Oreochromis niloticus: one gene and its partner. Each later gene encodes a partner of the first gene's protein in a complex. Links are inferred from orthologs where the notes say so. Each region holds a gene or a part of one and is shown on either strand. Other genes may lie near its edges. The genes, in order: pak4 and limk1a.

Region 1 (11,136 bases):
TTGTTTTGTTTTTTGTCTAAAAGCAGGTACATGTAGTTATTTTAGCCATTAAGCCTTTTTCAATCATATTTATTCATATTCCTCCATTCTCTTTATAATGGGATAAACAGGAAGTAGAAGGACTGAAGGGCTCCACTTTATATTGGCTGTCATAAAAGTCAATAAACAAATTAAATTCAGTAATTATTAAATAATAAACAGCAATCATAAATTTCCAGGGCCCAAAGTGACGTGTTCAATTTACTAGTTTGATCAACAGTTAAAGAGATTTTCTTTGGGGGGGGGGGGTTGTTTAGGCTTTAATTGCTGTTGGTGGTGGTGACTAATCAACTTCACGGCTATTTATCAGTAAAGAAAGTTAATTTCCTACTTTTAAAAATTTTAATTGATTACAACTATTCAAAGGCTCAGAAGTTCATTTTTTCACCTCAAGTCATCACACAGGATCAGAACTAAATGAAAAAGGAAAAACGTGCATCACAGACTCTAGTCAAATGTAATGTCAGACAGCCGTCATGTCTTCAAACTTTCATACCTGGAAACATAGTGGCTGCAACTTTGTGATCTCAAACTTTTTTGAAATAGACATCCTGTTGCCCTTTACTCAGACCACACCAGAAAATTGTTTCTTTTTTTTCCTTTCAACACCATCAGTTTCTTTCTCGATAACAAATCACCACACACACCTCATGCTCCTGCCTGTTATTGCCCTTTTGCCTCCAGCCATCACCTTGTACATCGCTGTGAAAGCTGTTTGGACTTCACAGAAGAAGCCTGAACAGCAGCTGCGTTCGGGCCCTTCTGGTCAGTTCGCATCAAAGCAATGACAACATCCCTCCTGCCAGCAGCTCTGTCTCCTGCTGGACACATCTGTCAACAGTCATCTGTGATTTCTGATCATTTCCACCTTCATGGCTCGCCTCCTCTGCTGTGATTCACCTAAAAACTGGCCGAAAATCAAGAAAAACTCTTAAATCTGCTTGGAGTGAATCCTTCAAACTCAGTAGATTTTAGGTACTGCAGCTTTATAAATATGATCAAAGAAAATACAGAAACTGCAGAGGAATTTGAAAAAAGTAGCATATAGCAAGTGATCAGATATATTTTTGAATGCCTCTTCTTTACTGCTAAATACAGTTAGAAGCAAAAAATCTTTAGCCCCATTGTGTATTAGGTTTATTGGCATAAATTCAGTGTCCAGCAGGCTTATCACCAAAGCCCACACTGCACACTGAAATAGCTGCCAAATGGGCCTTTATTATGGAAGAAGTTTGTCTAGCTTTGTCTAGTAAATTCTGCATAAAACAGCACCTCAAAGTTCGTAACTATAAGTACACTTCTTTCTAACTGCCTTAGTCAAGTCCCGCCACAGCTTTTCCATATTAATGGTTCAGACAGCCACTATCTAGGACTTCCTCTGAAACCTAAAGCCAATATTCTGAGGTATGCTTGGGTCACTGTACTACTACTGAAAGGTCCATCAATGCTTGCGCATCAGCGTCCTCACTGACAGCAATACATTTTGGCGACCGTGGCTCAGGAGATTGGGAAGCTCATCTGTAACCGGAAGGTTGCCAGTTCGATCCCCCTGCTCTCTCTGTCCTGGTCGTTGTGTCCTTGGGCAAGACACTTTACCCTACCGCCTACTGGTGTTGGCCAGAGGGGCCGATGGCGCGATATGGCAGCCTCGCTTCTGTCAGTCTACCCCAGGGCAGCTGTGGCTACAACTGTAGCTTGCCTCCACCAGTGTGTGAATGTGAGAGTGAATGAATAGTGGAACTGTAAAGCGTTTTGGGTGCTTAGAAAAGCGCTATATAAATGCAATCCATTATCATTATTATTATTTTCTTCCAGGATTTCTGATACTTTATTTACTACATGTTGCCAGTTGTACTTTGTAGACTTTTGCATTACATGAGGAATCAAAGAAGTCTCTGACATCACTGAGCCACCATCATGCATTACTATAGGTCAGTTCATTCTTCCTTCTCCAGACACATTTCTGACCCATAGGCCAAAAGTTCTAGTTTTGTTTTGTCCCCCCCCCCCCCCCCAAAAGATCTGTGCCATCATTTCAATCATCATCAGTAATGAGTCACAGCACTTCGATAAATCATATGACCTTGGGAATAAATTCAGGAACAGGTTTCATTTCAGCCAGTGAAACTGCTAGTCAGTGACTGAAACTGGCAGGGCTCTCTTAGGTTTGGCCCTGTTACATAGTGCCAGCAGGCAAATGACAGGAAATGAAGGAAAGATGGATGCAGCAAAGGTTCCCAACAGACTTCTACCCGCAGACATTGTGGTTTATTGTTGTCTGAGCCAAAGGAAATTATTATGAAGTAGTAAAATTAAAGTTAAAAAGTGTTGTTAAATGTCTTTATCCTGCCAGGTAGCATAATAAGTTTCCTGCCAGCAAGCAGAATAAACACCAAGCAGCATCTTTTGGGACCAGTTTTGATTATTTATACTGGGATGAGGGCTTTTTGAGCAACCTCCAGGGTACCACAAAACCCCCTCTTTTACCCTACAGGGAGAGCCAACTGGAGCCTCCTTTCAGGAGGAGAATAAAGTATAATACTGATATCCTACTTTAAGGAAAAACAAACAAAAACCAAACAGCAGCATACACTTAATGCTCCTTTCCCAACAGACTCTCTATATGCCCCTTGTCTGCCACACAAAGTCGTTTATTTTTCCACTTGTTGATTGTCTGCTGCTTCTATGACCTGCGTGGATTTGGTTTATCTGGTCCAAATATGTCAGTGAGGATGACTGTTTAACCTGCCAGCCTGTTTTTCCTGTTTGATTACCTTGGTTGGCTCCTCGTTTTTCCACCACAGAGCAGACAATTCCAATGTTTCTACAACTACCAGCAGACAGAAGAAGATGCTTTTTATTAAAGCTGTTCTGGAAACCCGAAAAAGTAAACAGAACTTAAACATTTTCTGCTAGAAAAGCTAATTACTTTCTTTCACCTGTCCTTTTGGCTTAGGTTTGTATAATTTTAAATTATCAGGTACCTAACAAGGTATTTTAAAACCATGTTATCTTAACACTGTTAGATTCATATTCAGCACATATGCTGTGTTTTTTGTTCACAATGAACAATCACTCAAAGAAAACACACACATTTCCAATTTTTTTCCAGTAAACTTGCCATTTGTTTCTTTCAGATTCAGTTGAGGTTGTTGTAATTTAGCAGAACAAATGCCATCCATAAGTTGCATTTTCCCAAAGAGATATTAGTCAGTTAGCTACTATCTAACAAAAATATAACTTTTCAATATGGCTGTACTGATTGTGAAATTCTGAGCTGATACTGTCAAAAGAATTTGGCCTAAATCCTATCCTCATGTATCCATAGTTTATTTAAATGTACTTTTCTTGTTATCTGTTCCCACTTCTGTGCTATAAACACTAACATCTTTTTAAAAGACTTTCACCTTTTCATCACACTGCCTTTGAACTCTCCAGCAGATAAACTTAACTGTTTATCTTACTTACTAGTAGATGGATATCAGCTGTCTTGCAGCTGCATCCCATCTCGCAACTTAACACGTGAATATTGCTGATGAATATTTTGCCATACATGATGTAGATGTTCCCGCTGCTGTTTGGGAATGGTGCATATGTGAGAGAGACGAGTGACCCCTTCATACAGCTTCTCTGGAATCCCAGGAATGTATGGTGTGCCCAGCACCAACCGCACGACCTTACAAACACAAACCCCCCCCCCCTTCCTCTCACTGCACACTCACGAAGCACAACACAAATGCAATCCATAACATGACATCCGCCAGCCAAGAGGAAAAGAAGTGGGAGGGGAAAAAAGAAACTAAAAAGGAGAATTCATTCATGCACGAGAGAGAGAGGGAGCAGCTTAATATCCTCTTTTCCTGCTTTAGCCTGCCCACACAAACAATTCAGTCCTCCTTCACAGGTGAAAACGGAAGTTCACCGTGATCGTGATTATCAGGAACCAGCTGAACTTATCAGAAAGCAGACTGGCAGACTCAGCGTTACCAGAACTCGTTTGTCTCCTGGGTGTGCAAATGAGCCATCCTGTGAGCGTATGAGATCTTAGCAAAGGAAGACAGTCTGAACCTAAAGTTAGCTTCACATTTTTATTGTTTAACAACTTTCACAAGTGGCCCTCAGATTTTTGATTTCACAGTTCAGACACGATTCACTCTAGTCTACGCTTTGAGTGATTCATGAGCTAACACACAAACACAAGGAGAGCAGACTGAAGGAGGCTGCTCCGGTATCCTCACACCCGGACTGGCCGGACCGACCGGAGCGCAGCTAACGCTAGCCTCCGTTAGCGGCTCAGCGGGGAGCGGAGACGCGCCACAAGCTAACCCACAGCACGGTCCGGTAACCGAAGTCAGAGCCACGCGGGGATACTCACCAGGGATGTCCCAGGAAAACTTTTTCTGCCGACCCCGCGACGTACTTGGAAACTTTCCAAAAATCAGAAGGGCGGGAGCGGACTAACTTCAGGGCAAACTGTGTGATATTAGCCGAAGTCTTACTTTCCCGACGCCATGTTGAACAGAGGAAACTGGAACATCCGGGAAACTGAAACCAATCTCCATGGAAACCGAGTTAGCAACGGGCTACCGGGAGACGACTCTTCTTCGGCTTTTTTTTCTTCTTCTTTGTGGTTGGTAAACATTACCGCCCACCGGTAGACTAATACTGTACCTTCCTCCCAGCTGTTTCTTACATTTGTAGTGCACGTATTATTTATTAATGCAATTCACACTACTCTCTTTTACCATCTCAGTCTCACTTTTTACTTTACTTTAACTTAACCTAATTTTTTTATTCTTTCTTTTCTTTGTTTTTTAATCACAGTGGAAAATGTTTACATATAACAATCTCACAGGCCGTCACTATGCGCCTGTGGCACTTTAACTTTGTTCTTTATTTATTGTAGACTGCACTATTTTTATTCTTTATCCCGCTGTTGTAACACAATAAATTTCCCTTGTGGGATTATTATGTTCACATATGGCTTCTTCTTTGCATGACAAAGATTTGTCTGCACTCTCCATATAATCTTACATCCAGCTGCTTTAAAATCACCAGCTAACCTAACATGCATGTCTTTGGACTGTTTGAGGAAGCTGGAGTAACTGAAGAGATCCCACAAGGGCACAGGGAGAACATCTAAACTCCACACAGAAAGGTCTCAGCCAACCCGGGAATTTGAACCTTTCAATAAACCCCATTGCTAACTACTTCAGAATGCTTTCCATAACAGAACTATTTAGGTTTATATCTTGAGAGTTAATGTAAGTTTAAAACAAGAGAAACAAACCAAAAAATAAATTTTTTAGAAGAAATGTATTGATCTCATGGCAGTAGAGTGTTTTTTAATGTTACAGTGACTAAACACAGTGGTACAAAAAAGTCTGTTTTACAAATGTAGCCAATCGTCATATTTGCGGGACTGATGGATTCTCATACAGGGGCACCTCCAGAATTTTTTCATAGGGGGCCACTAAAAATACTGGGATGCCACACCAAAAACAGAATTTCCAGTTTTACCATGCTGTCATCAAATATATTTTTTTGGGGGGGGGGGGCTAGTTTTGTTTTGTTTTTTTAATCTACCATGTCGAAGCAATGCAGGCACACATACGTACATGCATTAATATGTAGAATATGCAGTAAATTCCTATAAAACAGAGACATTTCAATCAATAAGAGGGACAAACAACTTCACTATGAGCTCATATGGTAGGTTTTATCTTAACTTTAGTAAATAAAACTGCGGCAAGTAGGGTTGGTTAATGATTCACCAGGAGAGATGGGAACAGAAGTTGCTGATACAGGGCCAGGCTCCTATTGTGTGATGCAGAGGTGGTGATGGATAGGTGGGACTACAGCCTTGAGAACAGCTATTTGGATGCAATTCGACTTTCTGTGCCAGATAAAGTTGGAGCTCATGGATCATAGCGACGTCACTCCTCGGTATAAGTTCAGGGACAAGTCATCGCCTTGCTGCTGTTGCTCCTGTAGGAGATGAGGAAAGCAAGGAAGGTGGGCGAAGAGATAGGAATGAGGTAGCTGCACAGTGAGGAGTGCAGATATCTGACAGTCCGCAGGTGGTGGTGATCATCCAGAAGAAGCTCGGGGCAACAGAGGGAAAGTTCAGGGTTAGTTCGGAGGAGCTAAAGTAAATGCTAAACTTTCACAAAGAAAAACTGTTTTTCTCTGTGGAGGTTTAGCACCGCACTGCAGTGAGAACAGCCCAGACAAGCTTTGTCTGAACCAGAATATCCTCACCTTATCCCAGAATAACACATCTGCATACTCTGGGGATCTGTGAATTCACCATTTTCATCACAGCTGGTTCAGAGCTGCTCACGAGTTTGTTAAAGGGGACTGCAACAGTATGCTTACCATCCAGAAAAAAACACCCCAGTGATGCCAAGCAGCACCGCAGTGCAGTGAGAACGACCCAGAGAAGGTGTCTCTGTTTGGATGAAGAGGAATTAAAACTGTATAAACAACCATATTCATTAATCTGCCACTGAAAGCCCTGATTTTGCTATGTTGCCATCTGAAGACAGAGACTTTTAAAAAACAAATTAAGCTTTGGTTATCCTCGCATCTGTGATACAAAAAAAAGCTCTTTGTATTAATCAGTGTTTGGCAACAACAGGGGAGGAGATACTGAGGACAAATCTCATGTCTGGTAATGTGCAGTACAACACACTGACAAACATGTAAAATATATTTAATTTTGGTCAACATACACTCATCATAATATGTTCTGTGAAAAAAGTAACATTAAAGTTCCCATTGCTTGTATTTTTAGTCTTTGTGGGTCAGCAGCTCTGTGTTCATTGTTTCCTGGCTAATGAATCAATACACTGCACTGTAATTATTATTAATATTATTTTTCCCACAAAAATACTGTAAAAAATATCAGAAATGTACAATAATAATCAATTTTTTGTGGTATTTAAAAAAATAAAATCATCTTAATTAAAATACAGATGTTTTAAAGTTACATGAAAAAAATGTCTGTTTTTACAGATTTCTTTTTTCGAATAAAGATGTTTAAATCTGTATAAACAACAATATTACCTAATAATAAGTTCAAATACTCACCAAGTAATTAATCCAATTAGAACAGGAGAAAAGTACTGTTGAATTTTACTTCGTACGTTCTGCAATTTTGTATTTTTAGTCCATTCATAATGTGAAAAAATGATTTACTACACAAATAAACCAGTTTGTTAAACTAGTAACTGGGTTTACATTTTTTTTTTTAAATAATTAAAAAATTACAGATCTTTTCTAGCACATACTGACTGATCATATTTGATTCCACATAAAATCTTAAGTCTATTTAGTTGATATGATAAGAGTGAAATATTCCATGAACCATGTAAACTCCTGTTTACTGTGCTTTCAGCCTGAGCAACTGTTTTATTTTGTAAATCTAGATACTGCTCCATATTTGTGGGACAGCAGCAAGTTATTAGTTTCCTTGTATGTGATGATCTCATCAGTATTTCCTGTGCTGCTACAGATGAAACTACACAACAGGGTAAATTACATTATGATAGCTTGACCTCAACCAGCAACATCAGTGAAGCAGAACTCAATAAAAATGATTAAATAATGTATAATAATCCTGTGATAGACTGGCCAGCTGTCCAGAGTGTACTCCGCCTCTCACCCTGTGACAGGCTCCACCGTCACTCTGATCTGGATGAGAATTAATGAATGAATGAATGAATGGATGGATGGATGGAAGAACATATTTTTCTGCAGTATCACTTTCAACTTTAGCTATTTCTTTCAACTAAAGAAAAATGTAAATCCATAATGTAAGTAAATTTTTACTTAACATTGAGAATTAATTGCAACTTTTAAAAACATTTGTAATCTTGTTTAAAAACAAGCAAACGGCTCCATTACGTCATTAACCACATTTCCCTCATCACTGTAAAAGCCAGGATATTACCTCAGTGTCTTTGCAGTTTGATCTGCACAACACTGACCTCTAGTGATCAAATGCACACACTGCTCTGTCAAGCTTTGCTCTGTGGCGTCCTCGTCACGGTGAGAGGTTTTCAAAAAGGCCTGATGAGTGAGGAGACAGTTTTCTTTTTGTTCCTCACACACTGATGGAGTAATGTCATTGTTAGTTTCAGAAATGATAAAAATAATAATGAAATTTGTGAACTAAACTGTGAAGTTTTATTTTATTCTCAAAGATGTACGTTTCTGTGTATGTTTTATTATTGAACAGCAAATTTTCATATGACGCATTTACCAGATTTCTTCTGCCAATACTAAGTGCATACACCTCTTCTGTTCCAGGTTTCATTGTCTGGAGATGAAGCTATCACGTCCCCCCTTATTTTCTGTCATATATTTACTGTTACAGTAGTTGGTGCTCATATTAAATGTCCCTGAAACCTAAACACACGGAGCTGGAAATGAGCAGGAAAGGTCACCTTTGAGAGTTTCTCTCGGTGGAAACATCTTCCCATTTAGATAGTCTTGCTTACTGTATTAATATGTTGAGAAAAACCTACATTAATCTCTTAACCTGCTAACCTCTAATGACAATCAGCTGATTATAACTTTACTTGCAGCTTTAGGAGAAAGTTATATAACTAGAGGTTTCATTGAGCGAGAGTTTGATCATTTATTTCTGCAGTGGAAGCAAATTTGTTACATTTCAAATAGCAGCTTTTTTGTCCCATTGCAAATTTGGATCAATACTTTGCTTCTTTTCTGGTGGTTCTCCAGCTTATTTACAGGCTTTGTTTGTCCTGGGAGACGTGTGTGTTTGCTGAGCATGCTCCTCTTTTCCAGCTTTGCTTCTGCATGTATAGATAAATCTATATTTACTATTTTTTTATACAGAGAAATCACATTTGTCCTTTAAAATTCCTGCTTTTCCTCTCATTGTGGTTTCTGACTCTTAGGGAAAACATATAGTTAATCAGATCTCGGCTGTAAGTGTTTTATAAACTGAGAACAGATGGTTTTCTCATGTTTCACTGCATTAAAGAAGTGTGGAGTAAAGGCACCAACATCTGAGGGACTACAGGTTGGACTCTGTGACTAAAATGTGAAGCTGCTCAAACAGCTTTCCTAAATGAATCCACAGCTCAGCAGTTTGTCGAGCCGCCTCGCTGGTTTACATCCTCTTATGAGGTAATGAAAGCCCTGAATGGATGGTACAAAGCAGGACTTCATCATCCTTCCAGTGTTCACTGGGCATCTAATTACTTTAACAGGGGGTCAAACGTATTGGACAAAAATGAAATGTAAAACGTAGTCTGGCCTGCTTCATAGCACGTCACAAATTTCAGGTTTGGCTGCCTGTAGACTGTAATTGAAAAACCAAAAAATCAGACATTTATTGTTGTCATTTGTACTCTGAAAAATGCCTGTGAGCTAAAACAGAAATAAAGGCGGTATTCTGGTGGTTTGGGCACTATTGTCATGGTGTAAAAGTTCAAAAGATTTTTAAAGATAAGAAAAGTAACAATCAAAAGTAAAAATACAGCATGAAACAAACACTGAAAGCAAACAAGGAACAAAAAATGCAAATCCACATACATCCAAAGTAAATACTGCAAAAGATAAAACATTCAGAATGCTCCTGAAATATTTCTTTAAACTCCAAACCTTTTATTGAGTTCAAAAAGCATCTTGGGACCTTTTCAAATGTTTTTTGTTGTTGTTGCATCTCAGAAAGCCTGGAGATCTGTTCCTCAACAAAGTCTGGCTACTTGGAGGCAAAATATAAAGAAATGATGAATGAGCATAATACTGTACCTACAGCATATATATCAAAACAAAGAGCAGAAAAATTGATTTCTGACACTAATGGAATATTTTGAGGTGATATTTTTAAATATTTAAATAAATAGAAAATATGCCCCAATGAAGCACAATTAAAAAACACAACTGGAACTGAGAATTATGTATTTGTTAAATGTTTTATCTGCCTACACACACGTATGAGCTTCAGTGACATCCCATTATTAATCCATAGGGTTTCATATGATATCAGCAGACCCTTTACAGCTATAACAACTTTAACTCTTCTGTGAAGTCTTTCCACAAGGTTAAGAAGTGTTTATGGGAATTCTGACCATTCTTCCAGAAGTGTATTTGTGACACTGATGCTGGACGAGAAGGCCTGGCTGTCAGTATTCACCCTAATTCATCCAAAAGCCGTTCAGGTTGAGATCAGGACTCTGTGCAGGCCAGTCAAGTTCTTCCACACCAAACTCGCTCATCCATGTCTTTATGGACCTTGCTTTGTGCACTGGTGCACAGTCATGTTGGAACAGGGTCCATCCCCAAACTGTTCCCACAAAGCTGGGAGCATGAAGTTGTCCAAATGTCTCAACAAACAAACAACTCCAAACAACTCCACACCATAATCCGTCTCTACTGCTCAGCCACTGAAACCCATCACATTACTATGCACTGTTCTTGAGCTGATCTGAAGCCACATGAAGTTTGGAGTTCTGTAACGATTGACTCTGTAGAAAGTTGGCGACCTCTCCGGACCATGCGCTCCCAGCATCCACTGACCCGACTCTGTAATTTTCTGTGGCCTCCCACTTCATGGCTGAGCTGCTGTCATTCCCAGTTGCTTCTACTTTGTTATAATACCACTAACAGCTGATGGTGGAATATTTAGTAGCAAGGAAAGTTCAGGACTGAACTTGCTCCACAAATGGCATCCTCTCACAGTAACATGCTGGAATTCACTGAGCTCCTGAGAGCAACTCATTCAAATGTTTGTAGAAACAGTCTGCATGCCTCGGTGCTTGATTTTATACACTTGTGGCCCTGGAAGTGGTTTTCAACACCTGAAGTCAATGGTTTGGATTAATGAGTGAATACTTTTGATAATAAAGTGTTGTTAGAAGCTCCAGATTTAGAAATAACACGAGAAGAGTGTGATGTTTGCTGTATCCTGTGAAATACTCTTGTAGTGAAATAGCTGACCTGTGTGTTTATCAGTGTAATTCTGTTATCTCATGTTTCACTTCCTAAAACACGGCCTCTCCTGCACTTAGAAAGTTTAAGAACGATGACAGACACCAATCAGCCAATTGCTTTTAGTCTATT
Region 2 (10,351 bases), about 15 Mb from region 1:
CTTGCGGCACACCATAGACAAGAGAAGTGGAAACGGACCTGAATTATTACCCTTCTCCACTTTTTTCATACACGATGGGTAAAATAGTTAAAGGAGATGCTTATAAGTGAGGTAAATTACAAAATGTGATTGCTTAGGATTAGAGTTGACTCAGCTCTCAGAGGGTTAAATCTCATTTTTCAGAAGCAGACATTTGACTGTGAGCCAGCCAGGACTTGTTTAAACCGCTGGTGACTATGTGTCTATGTGTATCTGCATCTTTCGCAATTTCTTTACTGTGAAGGTGTCATGATGTTGTAATTTTACAGGTCAAAACTAGAGAAGGTATCCCAACAGCCTCAATGCTAATGTCTGTCTTTAGAAATATTATTCTGGTGCCCTTTACTCAGTGTTTGTGAATTAGATCACACCCATCTTTAAACTCCAAATTTTAATTTTGATCTCAGCTACACACCTGTAAAGTTTCATTACTGCATCATGTGAAGGTTTCAACATTATCACTTGTCTGACGCAGGTCTGCAGCCAGGACTACTTTAGGTTATGTCTGTTACAGAATTCATCAAAAACTAAAAGTACCAGAAAACACAGCAAAATCGGAAACTTTACCTTTACCTTCAGCCACAAAAAGGAAACACTTGTGAGAAAAAGACAGATCAGATTTAAGGAGATTTACTTAGAAAAGCTGGTGGGGGGAGGATACTTGTGTTAGCACTACAGTGAAGAAAAGATTAAACAAGGAACAAGATGTGATTATGGGCAATAACATGCAAACTTAATGTTTTCAGGGAATTTTGGCTCCTCAAAAAAAAAACCCACACAAGCAGGCACAGACATGCCTGGGAACGAGTTTGTAACAGTAGCGCTTCACTGTCATGTCAGCTATTTCCAGGAAATACTGCAGCACAAAGCCTACATTGAAACCACAAAAAACTACAGCTAAAACTTGTTACATAACCTCCCAGCTATTTCTCCTGTTTAATATCTCTTTTACAGTTTCCCAAGGTGAAATGAATAAACTGTTTTATCTAACAACCTGATCATTTTTTTAATCACACAGTCATGTGAAAAATAAAGTTTCTCACGAGACTCTCTGCAGTCCTGTGAGAAATAAGTATGCCCCACGATTCACTAGCTCATTAAACTACATTTAGTAGCAATAACTTTATCAGTCTCTCACATCTCTGTGGAGGAATTTTGACCCACACTTCTTTACAACATTACATCCGTTCATTGAAGTTTGCAAGCATTTTTTTTGCACAGCTCTCTTAAGGTCCCGCCACAACATTTCAGTTAGGTCTGGACTTTGCTGCTGTGTTTGGAATCACTGACCAGTTGCACGACCCAGTTTGCGTCAGTATTTAGCCGTCGGATGGATGGCCTCATATTTGACTCTAGAATACTTTGGTGAACAGAGGAGTTAATCATCAGCTTAATAACTAATAGGTGCCCACGTTCTATGCTTGGAAAACAAGCCTAAATAATCACCCTCCACCACCGTGCCTGTTTGTTGCTATGAGGTGTTTGTACATTACAGCCAAACATGCCCAAAGGACATTGTTCCAGAAGCCTTGTGGTTTGTTCAGATGAAACTTTTCAAACCTAAGCCATGCTGTCGGGCTCTTTAACACGCACTGAATGCTTCAGACCTGTAAACTGATCAGACAGTCAGTGGATGTGATTAGCAACATCCGGCTGCTACTTAGCCTTTATTTTCCTGTGGAGCCAGTATTTTAAGAAAAAAAGGGTTTTCGCTGGACTGTGGACTCACAGGACCTTTAAACACTGAAAACAGCAAATATTTGGTATTTTTATTTTATTTTCTAGGGTACTTTTATGCCTTATATGTGCAATCATTAACTCACCTCACTCACTCCTTCACTGTCCTTTAAAGCAGTAATAATGAGCGATATATTAATCACAGTAATATACCATTCAGCAGACACTTACTAACCGGCTGTTGAACACAGTGGAACATTTAGCAGCTAAATGATAGGCAGAATTCCCCCTCGGAAATTGGTCGACTCCATGAACAGCGGTAAATGCCAGTGAACTTTTGACCTGTATTTGCTCTACCTGGACGGACTTGTAGGATGGATAAATAAGCAAGATGCACTGTGATATTTCAGTGTTGTTCCCAAGTGGCCAAAAACTCAGTGAGACTTAAAGACGTGTGTGCTCTTAAAGTCTGGGTTTATATGTCGAGTCTGGTTTGCTGTTTGTGCTGAAAGTACCTGAAGCAGACGGTATGCCAGTCATTGTTAAGGGCCTGGAGGTACTGCTCATCGTAGATCCTCTGTTTGCATCCCGCGCACACGGGCAAACTTCCTCCTGCTGTAATGACAGGAGACAGACGTGCTGATATCACCATATTAAAGCTCATTAAACATAAAGTTATAAACAGTTCTTACAAAGAGATGTGTGTTTGCGTGCCAGTCTGTGTGCCACCTCCGTCGCTTATCTGGCTATGCAAATTATCACTGCTGGTTTATAACCCAGCTCTAAAAACACACAACTCAAACAAACACACCACACAGCGTCTCCTCCATCGTTACCACCAGAGCAGAAACGATGTACCATCTGAAGGGGCATTTTTAATGAGCATACGGCTCAGCAGGCCCGAAACCACTAATTTGCTGCATCGCCCTGTTTAGTAGATAAACTCTAGTTTATTAAAAAAAATCACAACATTTAAAGAAACACAATTTTTTGCCTAGAATTATAGGATAATATTCAAACTTTGGCAATGAGAAAAATGGAAATATTATGACCAAAAGGCATAAAACATCCAGGTTTCCAAAGGTAGTTATGATCAGTTTGGAAAAGTAATATAAGGCTTTTATTTTATTTTTCCAAACCTACATTTAATTGGATGTTTTATCCCTTTTTTCTAGTCACAACCTTTCCATTTTTTGTTGTTGTTTTGGGTTTTTTCCCCACAATTTACCTGTACAAAAGCCGTGCGTGTTGTAAAAGCAGGAAACAACACAAAGAAACTAAAGAGAAGCTGAGATGATGCATAAAATGATGGCAGGGATTAACTGGGGCATATTTAAATAACATGGTGTTATTAGCAGGCACACTTTACATTTTCCTTACAAAATGCAAACTAACGCAGAAAAGAAAAGTAAATTAAACAGAATTTAAACCAGCCATCGGCTTTCTTCTACTTCTTTCCTGATAAGAGCCGTTTCTATGAGAGGAATCTTATTAGCTGCAGATCAAAGATTCCAACTCTGAGGAAAATCTTCATTATGATTAGAGTTTCAGGAAAAAAGCAATTTGGCAGAGTTGGGACGATTTATCCTGCAGTAAGAGTTCATCTGGTGCAAAGGGCGAGGCGGCGGCTGACGTTATGCTGTGTTAGATGCATTTGTTGCCTGAGTTAATTTGCCTAAAAAAAAGTCACACGGCAAGACTCAGTGAGTAACAGCAAACACAAACATGGCAGCCAGTTGAAAGCATTTCATCCGTGGTGATGCTGTTTTGATTTGTAAAGAATAAGACTGCACAGATGCTACTGCTTCAGGTTCCCCCGCATTACTCTCGCTGCTGAGCTCCTGAACTTGCGGTGCACCCAAGAGTAACATCACGACTGTCACCTCAGAGTAACAGCCGAGCGTGGCACCTCTTCATCGCGGCATTTCAACAAGAAGTAACAAGAGTACTTCTCCACATACAAAGCAGCTATAAAGAGGCCCAATTTTGACCAAGGTTAAATTCAAAAGTGCCACAACATGAAATCTGGATACTGGTGGAAGAGTCTTGATAAAACTTAACTCTGCACAACAGCTTCAATTATTCATCCATCCTGTGAACTGAAAGCCATTTTGGCAGAGCTTTGGGTGCTGATGTCTGGTGCTAATGCTTTTCTTCTACACTCCTCCAGCCTTCTCTCTTTAAACACTTTTGTTTTACCATCTTTTCTTTTTTTTAGCATTTTTTATTGTGGAGCATTTCTCTGCATGGTGTCTTTCCTCCTGTTGACTTCAGAAAGGGCAGCCAAAGCAAACAGAAACACACCTACATTCTGGCACAAACTGTAAAACCTGTGCAGGTACAGGTGCGTACGCCCCCGCCCGCTCTGACTTAAAGCAGACACTTCCAGATTAGCTAATCACACTGCAATGCAAAGTGAAACCTTACATAGGACGTCCATTGTTCACCTCTGTGAAGCTGACTGACAGCTCGGTGTGCACAGTTATCTCACACCACATGCCAAAATACACACACATATATCAACAATGTGGTTTACCAGCTGTTCGAGCCATAGATTCCTGAATCACTATCCAGAAAACAATGAATTAAAAAAACATACAATTAAAACAGCTTCATTAATAATGAGATCAGAAGGTTATCTGGCTGATTTATATGATTAAATCCACACCGGTCACACACCTAAGGTAATCATGGAGTCTGTGGGAGTCTTAGTTTGGTGCAGGCACAACAGGAAACTCTGCCCTCTGTGTGTTTTTCACACAGCATGAAGGAAGCTCTTAAAGGACAGTTACTTCTCATGTAACAACCTGTTTATAAGCACTGCATGCTGGATTATTGGAGAAGGCTGGCGGCAGATGAAGAGTGTGGTGGTGGTGGCCTGAGGGTGAACGTTGCATACAAACATGCTGGCCGTATCCACTCGAAGAATGGCTTCATCTGCGGCACAGCCTGGCGCTCCCTGCACACGAACCTATTTCTGTACAGTAAACACAGAAACGGCGCAGTGTGCAGCTTTTTTTCTGTTGGAGCATCTTCTGCGTTTCGAGGAGCAGGGAGTGCGCCGTCGTCTCCGCATCGCCCGCCCCAAAAGCCGAAGCGCGTAACCAGCACGCAGGTCCTTACCTTCCTCCTCTCCCATGCGTTCGTCCTTCCAGGTGCAACAGAGCAGCATCAACCTCATTCACACGCGGAGCTCCGGGAGAGAGCCAACTGCCTCTGCTCGACGGATAAACGGTGTTCACCGACACACACCGCAACGCGCCCGGGGGTCGTGTCGCTGCGCGTCGGTCGCTCCCTGCGGCGGCCCACACAGCTTCCTTCTGCCCGCTGCCTGCACGTTTCTGCGGCGCTTCATTCAAGAGAGGCGCTGACCAATGAAGCTGCCGAGCAGTGCGGAGGAAACAGGGGGCTGGCCAACCACAAACACGCCCTGCTTAATGAAGTCTGGTGGAGGAGGGACGGAGGGGGGTAGACGGCGCAGAAACGCCACCATAGTAACTACAAGTAGACAGAGCGCGCTCTTGTAGAAAGGCAGGTAAACTATTAACGCGTTGATGCATGATAGTGGCGAAAGGGGTGGAGGTGCTGGAAGTAGCTGTTAAGTGTCTCATCGAAGTGCAATCGCAGTAAACAAAGGATGCAACATAAAAAGAAGCTGGAACGAAGGGAAAGAAAATGAAGTGGTTGGCTGGTTTGAAACCCATGAAGGCAAATCTGAAAGCAGCTGCAGTGTAGTCAGCAGCATAAAAACTGAGGTTTTATTTAATGTTTAAGAGAAGTCTAAATCGTGAAATTTGCTGTTCATGAGATTAACTGGGGCTTAATTTAGGAGCCATAAAATCAGTTAGCTGTGCAAAGTGCAAAGCAGACACAAAACGGAAGCCTGAGCGCACAATTCAGAAATTACAAAATGGTAATTACTGATTTTTAGTCATTGCTTAAATGCAACACAGTCACCACGTCCATTTTCCTTTATGGTTCAGTGTAACACACGGATTCTGTGTGTACAGCGTGATTATATACCCGAATTATCTCTGAATTTTAATTGTACAAAACACAGAACCACAGCAGAATGCAGACATAAAAAATATTTTTAATTTAAACTTTCTTAAATCTGGAATTTTTAACATACCTGCACAGAGAGCCACAAGTGAAACAGCAGCGTTTGCAGTGTGAAATATCAAAGGACCAGAGTGTAAGTGCAATCAAATGTAACTAGCTTCAGTTAAAACAACCCAATCAGCCACTGTCTCACAGCAATTCTGAAACACACATACACAAAGCCACACCCACATTAGTGCCAATTTCACACAACAAATACGGAGGCGAGTTGAGGTGCAGGTAACACTAGAGTGGACATAAAATGGCAAACTCAAATTCAAATGCAGACAGACTATCAACATATTGCAGTAAATCTGAGTGAGACCTATATAAAACATGGTTCTGATTAGATATTATTGCCATGGGTCATGGTCATGTGATCTATCACAGCTGATTTAAGATGGTGCCGTCCTATGTTTCATTATCTGAAGAAGAGCAGACGTAGTCGAAACGTCACACACGACTAGATGCAGTAAATAAGGAAGCTGGAGCTCTGCAGTGCGTGTTAATTCTTTTCTATGTTTACATTTTTTCGGCTCTGCACCTGCTCCACGCGGTGGTGAGGATGGATTTTTTTCCATTTTTTTTTTAAAACTCTGAGTGAGTCTGGATGACCTAACTCCTCTGTAACACGTCTCTTTGCAGTAAGGGACTCACTTCAACTGGATGCCTTATGTACATGTAGACGGCAACAGGTTTGTATTATCAGGTTTGTAGTATTAACATGTAATTGCCAGCAGATTCATAGCAGACCGATTCAGTCTTATCGCACTAAAGACAGCAATAAAATGGTAACGAAGACGGCAGCTCACTGCGGGAGGTTGCATACCCGGTCTCCGTCTTCAAAACACACAAATCACAATAATTTTGCTTGTGCTGCAGTCTCCAAACACTGTTTTCCTATGTGTGAGTATAGCATTAATGGGCACCAAGTTGAAATATTTTTGCCTAAAAATCATCATTGCTTGGACATGATGAACTGAAGAATCAGTGGCACTGGTTCAGCGTCAGGAGTGTCGGTATGGGGAGATGGGAGTGAGATAGCTAAGCCAGGGCCAGAGGTTTGATCTGTTTGTCCCAGTGGCAGGTCGCCAGATAACTGATTTAGTACACGTATGTACAAAGGGTTTGCCTACACCTATTACATGTTGGCTAAAGTAACACAAACACATTATTTCCTGTTAGAAATTAAGTAAGCTAACTAATACTAGGAAAATCAAGCAAACAGATTTACAGAAATGTGTAATTGTCAGCTGTAGAAAAACAGAATTCGACTAGAGTTTCACAGTGACATTGTTTTATGTCTGCAGTAAAGCCTCTGCTCCTGGAACAACAGTGTAAGCTACTTTTACAGGATGTGGATCACGGGTCAGTGGCTCTCCCAGGAGATCTTCAGGGAACAGCAGTATGAGTTCATTACTTCCAGCTGGCACAATAAGAACAGAGCTCAAAGTGTTCGCATCTAACCTGAGGTTTGTTTTTATTATAGAGAAAAAATCCTTCACATACAATAAATCTGATAAGTGATTCATTTTTCCTAGTGGAACAATAACAGAACTCGTATGAAAAAAGCTCTAAAACAGGCAGGACTTGAACCCAGGTTATTGTTCCAGCGTTGGACTGATTCGACACTCCCCACCAGGTGATTTTGATCAGCCCTCAGGACAGGCAGCAAGAAGTAATGAATAAGAAGACGCGTGTTCTTTAAACACATTTTATTTTGTTATTTGTTAAAGCAAATAAAATGCCGGATGTCCGGGAACAAGTCACATGTGTGCCGTGGAAACATAAAAAGTGCAAAACCACACTGTTCCTCCTTATAAAAACAGTTTTAAATAAAGATGAAGAGTATCCCACGCCACATAAGACAAGGTCTGACCCAGCGAGGCTCAAAGACAGTTCTTACACAGCACCGAGTGAAGGAACTGAAGCCATCAAATTAGTACAAAATACAGTACACAGTTACGGGAAGAGATGGGGGTCACTTGGCAACAGCGCTCATGAACCTTTGGTCAGTAAAGCCTTTGGTTTTGTTTTTTTTTAAAGCAGCTCAAGTAAATAAAGAACAGGGATTTTGTGCCTCACATAAACACAGCGGCACTCCCATTAAAACAAAGTATTAATCTGTATTACAGTTAATAACAGTGAATAAATGCAAAAGCAAAGGATTGTTTTTTTTAATGCTCACACATTCCTGATAACAAAAAAGCTATGAGTCAAATCATGGTGCAACAAATCTTGAATAATGACCAGTTACATAAATGTAAATGAGACTAAACATTTGAAGCAGACTTAAACACGACACATAATGAAACACACACGCACATACACGTCGCGTACATACCAGAGCAGAGTCTGATTGATATTTGAACACACTGCTTTTTGACTGTCTTCAGCAGAAAGTGTTTGGCAACATTTAACAAAAAAAAAAAAGCTGAGAAAACTGAACTGCACAGCAACAAGAATCAGCAAAGTTGCCGAGAGCAGATGGGTTGGCCGGAGCCCCAGTTACCACCGCTTTATACCCAGCAGGCCTAAAAATGGCAGCAGAGAAAATGGGGAGCCAGGAACCACACTGACATTGGCTGGATATCATCAGATTTCGGCCTAGCTATGACCAACCCCACCCCTGTGACAGGTTGGAGAGGAGTAGATGAGCCCTGTGCTGCCCAGTGAGACGGATCACCTTGATTTAGTTTAGGATTAAAGCAGAAAGGGAAATCACTTGTGGGTCACATTGACAGCCGATGGTACAGACAGTTTCAAACAAACGATACACACACGTGCAGGCGTGCGTGCACGGACGCAGCGACACATGGTGGGCCGGTGCGGTACAGAATTAAAGCTGGTTAACTTGAACATGTTAATGATTAAAGGCACTGTCAATAACATACGTCACATCAGCACATGTACAAAATTCTGGGTCGGTGGGTTTGTGTAAAAACAGACACTGAAGTCAAGTAAGTAAGAACAAACATCTTTACAGGTTGTCTAATGGGGCTTTGCATATAAAATGTACATTCTCGATCATGCAGTAGCACCATGGTTTCTTGAGGTCACTGGATCTCGGGAGATCCTCTACTTCCTCCTCCCACAGTATTTGCCCTGGCATCCTGCAACACCACCTGCAGCAAACACCGGCAACATTTTAGTCTTTGCTTAGCAGCAACTTCTGTTTTCAGGATGCTTCTTCAACAATGTGCGCAAATCTTTTACCTCTATAGATTCCTCCGCCGCCTCCTCCACCAAGGAAGCCCTGCAGAGGACCGTACTTTGCTGCTTTGGCTGCAAAACAACAAAACAGTATTGGTTATTATGTTTCCAGTCTGATGGTACTGGGCTTAATGTTAGCCAGAAGATTACCTGACTGGCCACTGGGCAAATCTGTCACTCTATTTTCCACGCATGTATTTGAATATTCAACTGTTCTCTTGGCCTTTTTGTGGTTTTTGTTTCTATTAATACAAGGAAAAACTTTGTGTGTAAAATTTGATACTTTCAAATAAAAAAGAACACAATATGATTAATTTCCTTTAAACAAAACGTTCTTCTAGTGCATAAATGTTTAAGAACTTGTCTTTTTCTCAGCATGTCTTATAAAAGTTCACGTTTCCAGTAAGCAACACAAGCCGCAGCCCTGTAAGCCGTTTAAGGCAGGAGGCACTTGCCTCCAAACACGGGTGCTGGAAATTAAACTGTAGATGGATTTACTAGTGAAGTTTTTACTGCAGACCTGCTCAGCAAGTTATATCAATAAGGTAGGTGATATATGATAGACAGCTGCTGATATACTGGATAATAACTTTATCTTAATCTAATCAACACCACCAAGATGAGATGAATAATATTTATAATAAACTTCTACATTTGAAGTTTTTGAGTCCTGGTGACTGTGAAGTACTTTTTAGGATGGCTGCCAAAAGGCACACTTATTTAGTAAAGATCATTTTGTCACATCATTGTGGACTGCTGCACTATTCACCGGCCCAAGGAAGGATGTGAAAACCCTCACTGGTCATGTGAATGGCATGACATGAAAATGCATGCATGTCTCAGACCAGCAGCACCAGTTCCCCTACAGGCTACGTACTTTCTCCCCTCATTTTCTTCTTGCCTACCAACAGCTCCACCTCCAGTTACCAGTCTGTCAACCTTATGAAGTTAACAGATGACACCACCTCAATCGGGCTCATCACAGATAAGTCTGCCTACAGTGGGGATATTGAAAATCTGTTCTACTCCATGCTCACCGTTAGTCTTTAGTCTTAAAGTTTCAGTTGTTTCCTCGGTGTTTCCCGTCTTATCCTTTTCTTACTGTGTTAAGATCATTCACATGTCTGCGTTCCCCCGTTTAGTTATGATTCTTACTTCTTGTTTTATTTTGATAGATACCCGTCTGTTTCTTGAGTATAGTTTTACTTCTCCTCCTGTGTAACTGTCTTTGATTATCTTCACCTGCATCTTGTTATCCACTTCTCCTAGTTACTCTCTTGTGTAGTTTTGTCTCCCCTTCAGTCTTTGTCTCAGCATCTGT

What was found.
Region 2: the proteins of pak4 (region 1) and limk1a are in contact, whole or in part, in a crystal structure (PDB 6WLY), measured with the Homo sapiens proteins. The link is inferred for Oreochromis niloticus from reciprocal best matches to the Homo sapiens genes PAK4 and LIMK1. Residues at the interface, in NP_001014831.1 of Homo sapiens: Glu329, Gly330, Ser331, Gln358, Arg359, Leu362, Thr404, Asp440, Lys442, Ser443, Asp444, Phe461, Leu475, Val476, Gly477, Thr478, Pro479, Tyr480, Trp481, Met482, Glu507, Phe516, Pro520; in NP_002305.1 of Homo sapiens: Lys505, Arg506, Tyr507, Thr508, Val509, Val510, Gly511.

The regions. Positions count from the first base shown.
Region 1 is NC_031979.2:34,927,578-34,938,713, reverse strand, and holds the start of pak4 (serine/threonine-protein kinase PAK 4), read right to left. Parts: upstream 5,261-11,136; 5' UTR 4,415-5,260; intron 1-4,414. UniProt on the Homo sapiens protein: Serine/threonine-protein kinase that plays a role in a variety of different signaling pathways including cytoskeleton regulation, cell adhesion turnover, cell migration, growth, proliferation or cell survival.
Region 2 is NC_031979.2:19,908,169-19,918,519, forward strand, and holds the start of limk1a (LIM domain kinase 1a), read right to left. Parts: upstream 5,091-10,351; 5' UTR 4,898-5,090; coding exon 4,840-4,897; intron 2,332-4,839; coding exon 2,232-2,331; intron 1-2,231. Other genes in the region: elna (elastin), read right to left, coding at 8,896-8,942, 9,034-9,102. UniProt on the Homo sapiens protein: Serine/threonine-protein kinase that plays an essential role in the regulation of actin filament dynamics. Acts downstream of several Rho family GTPase signal transduction pathways.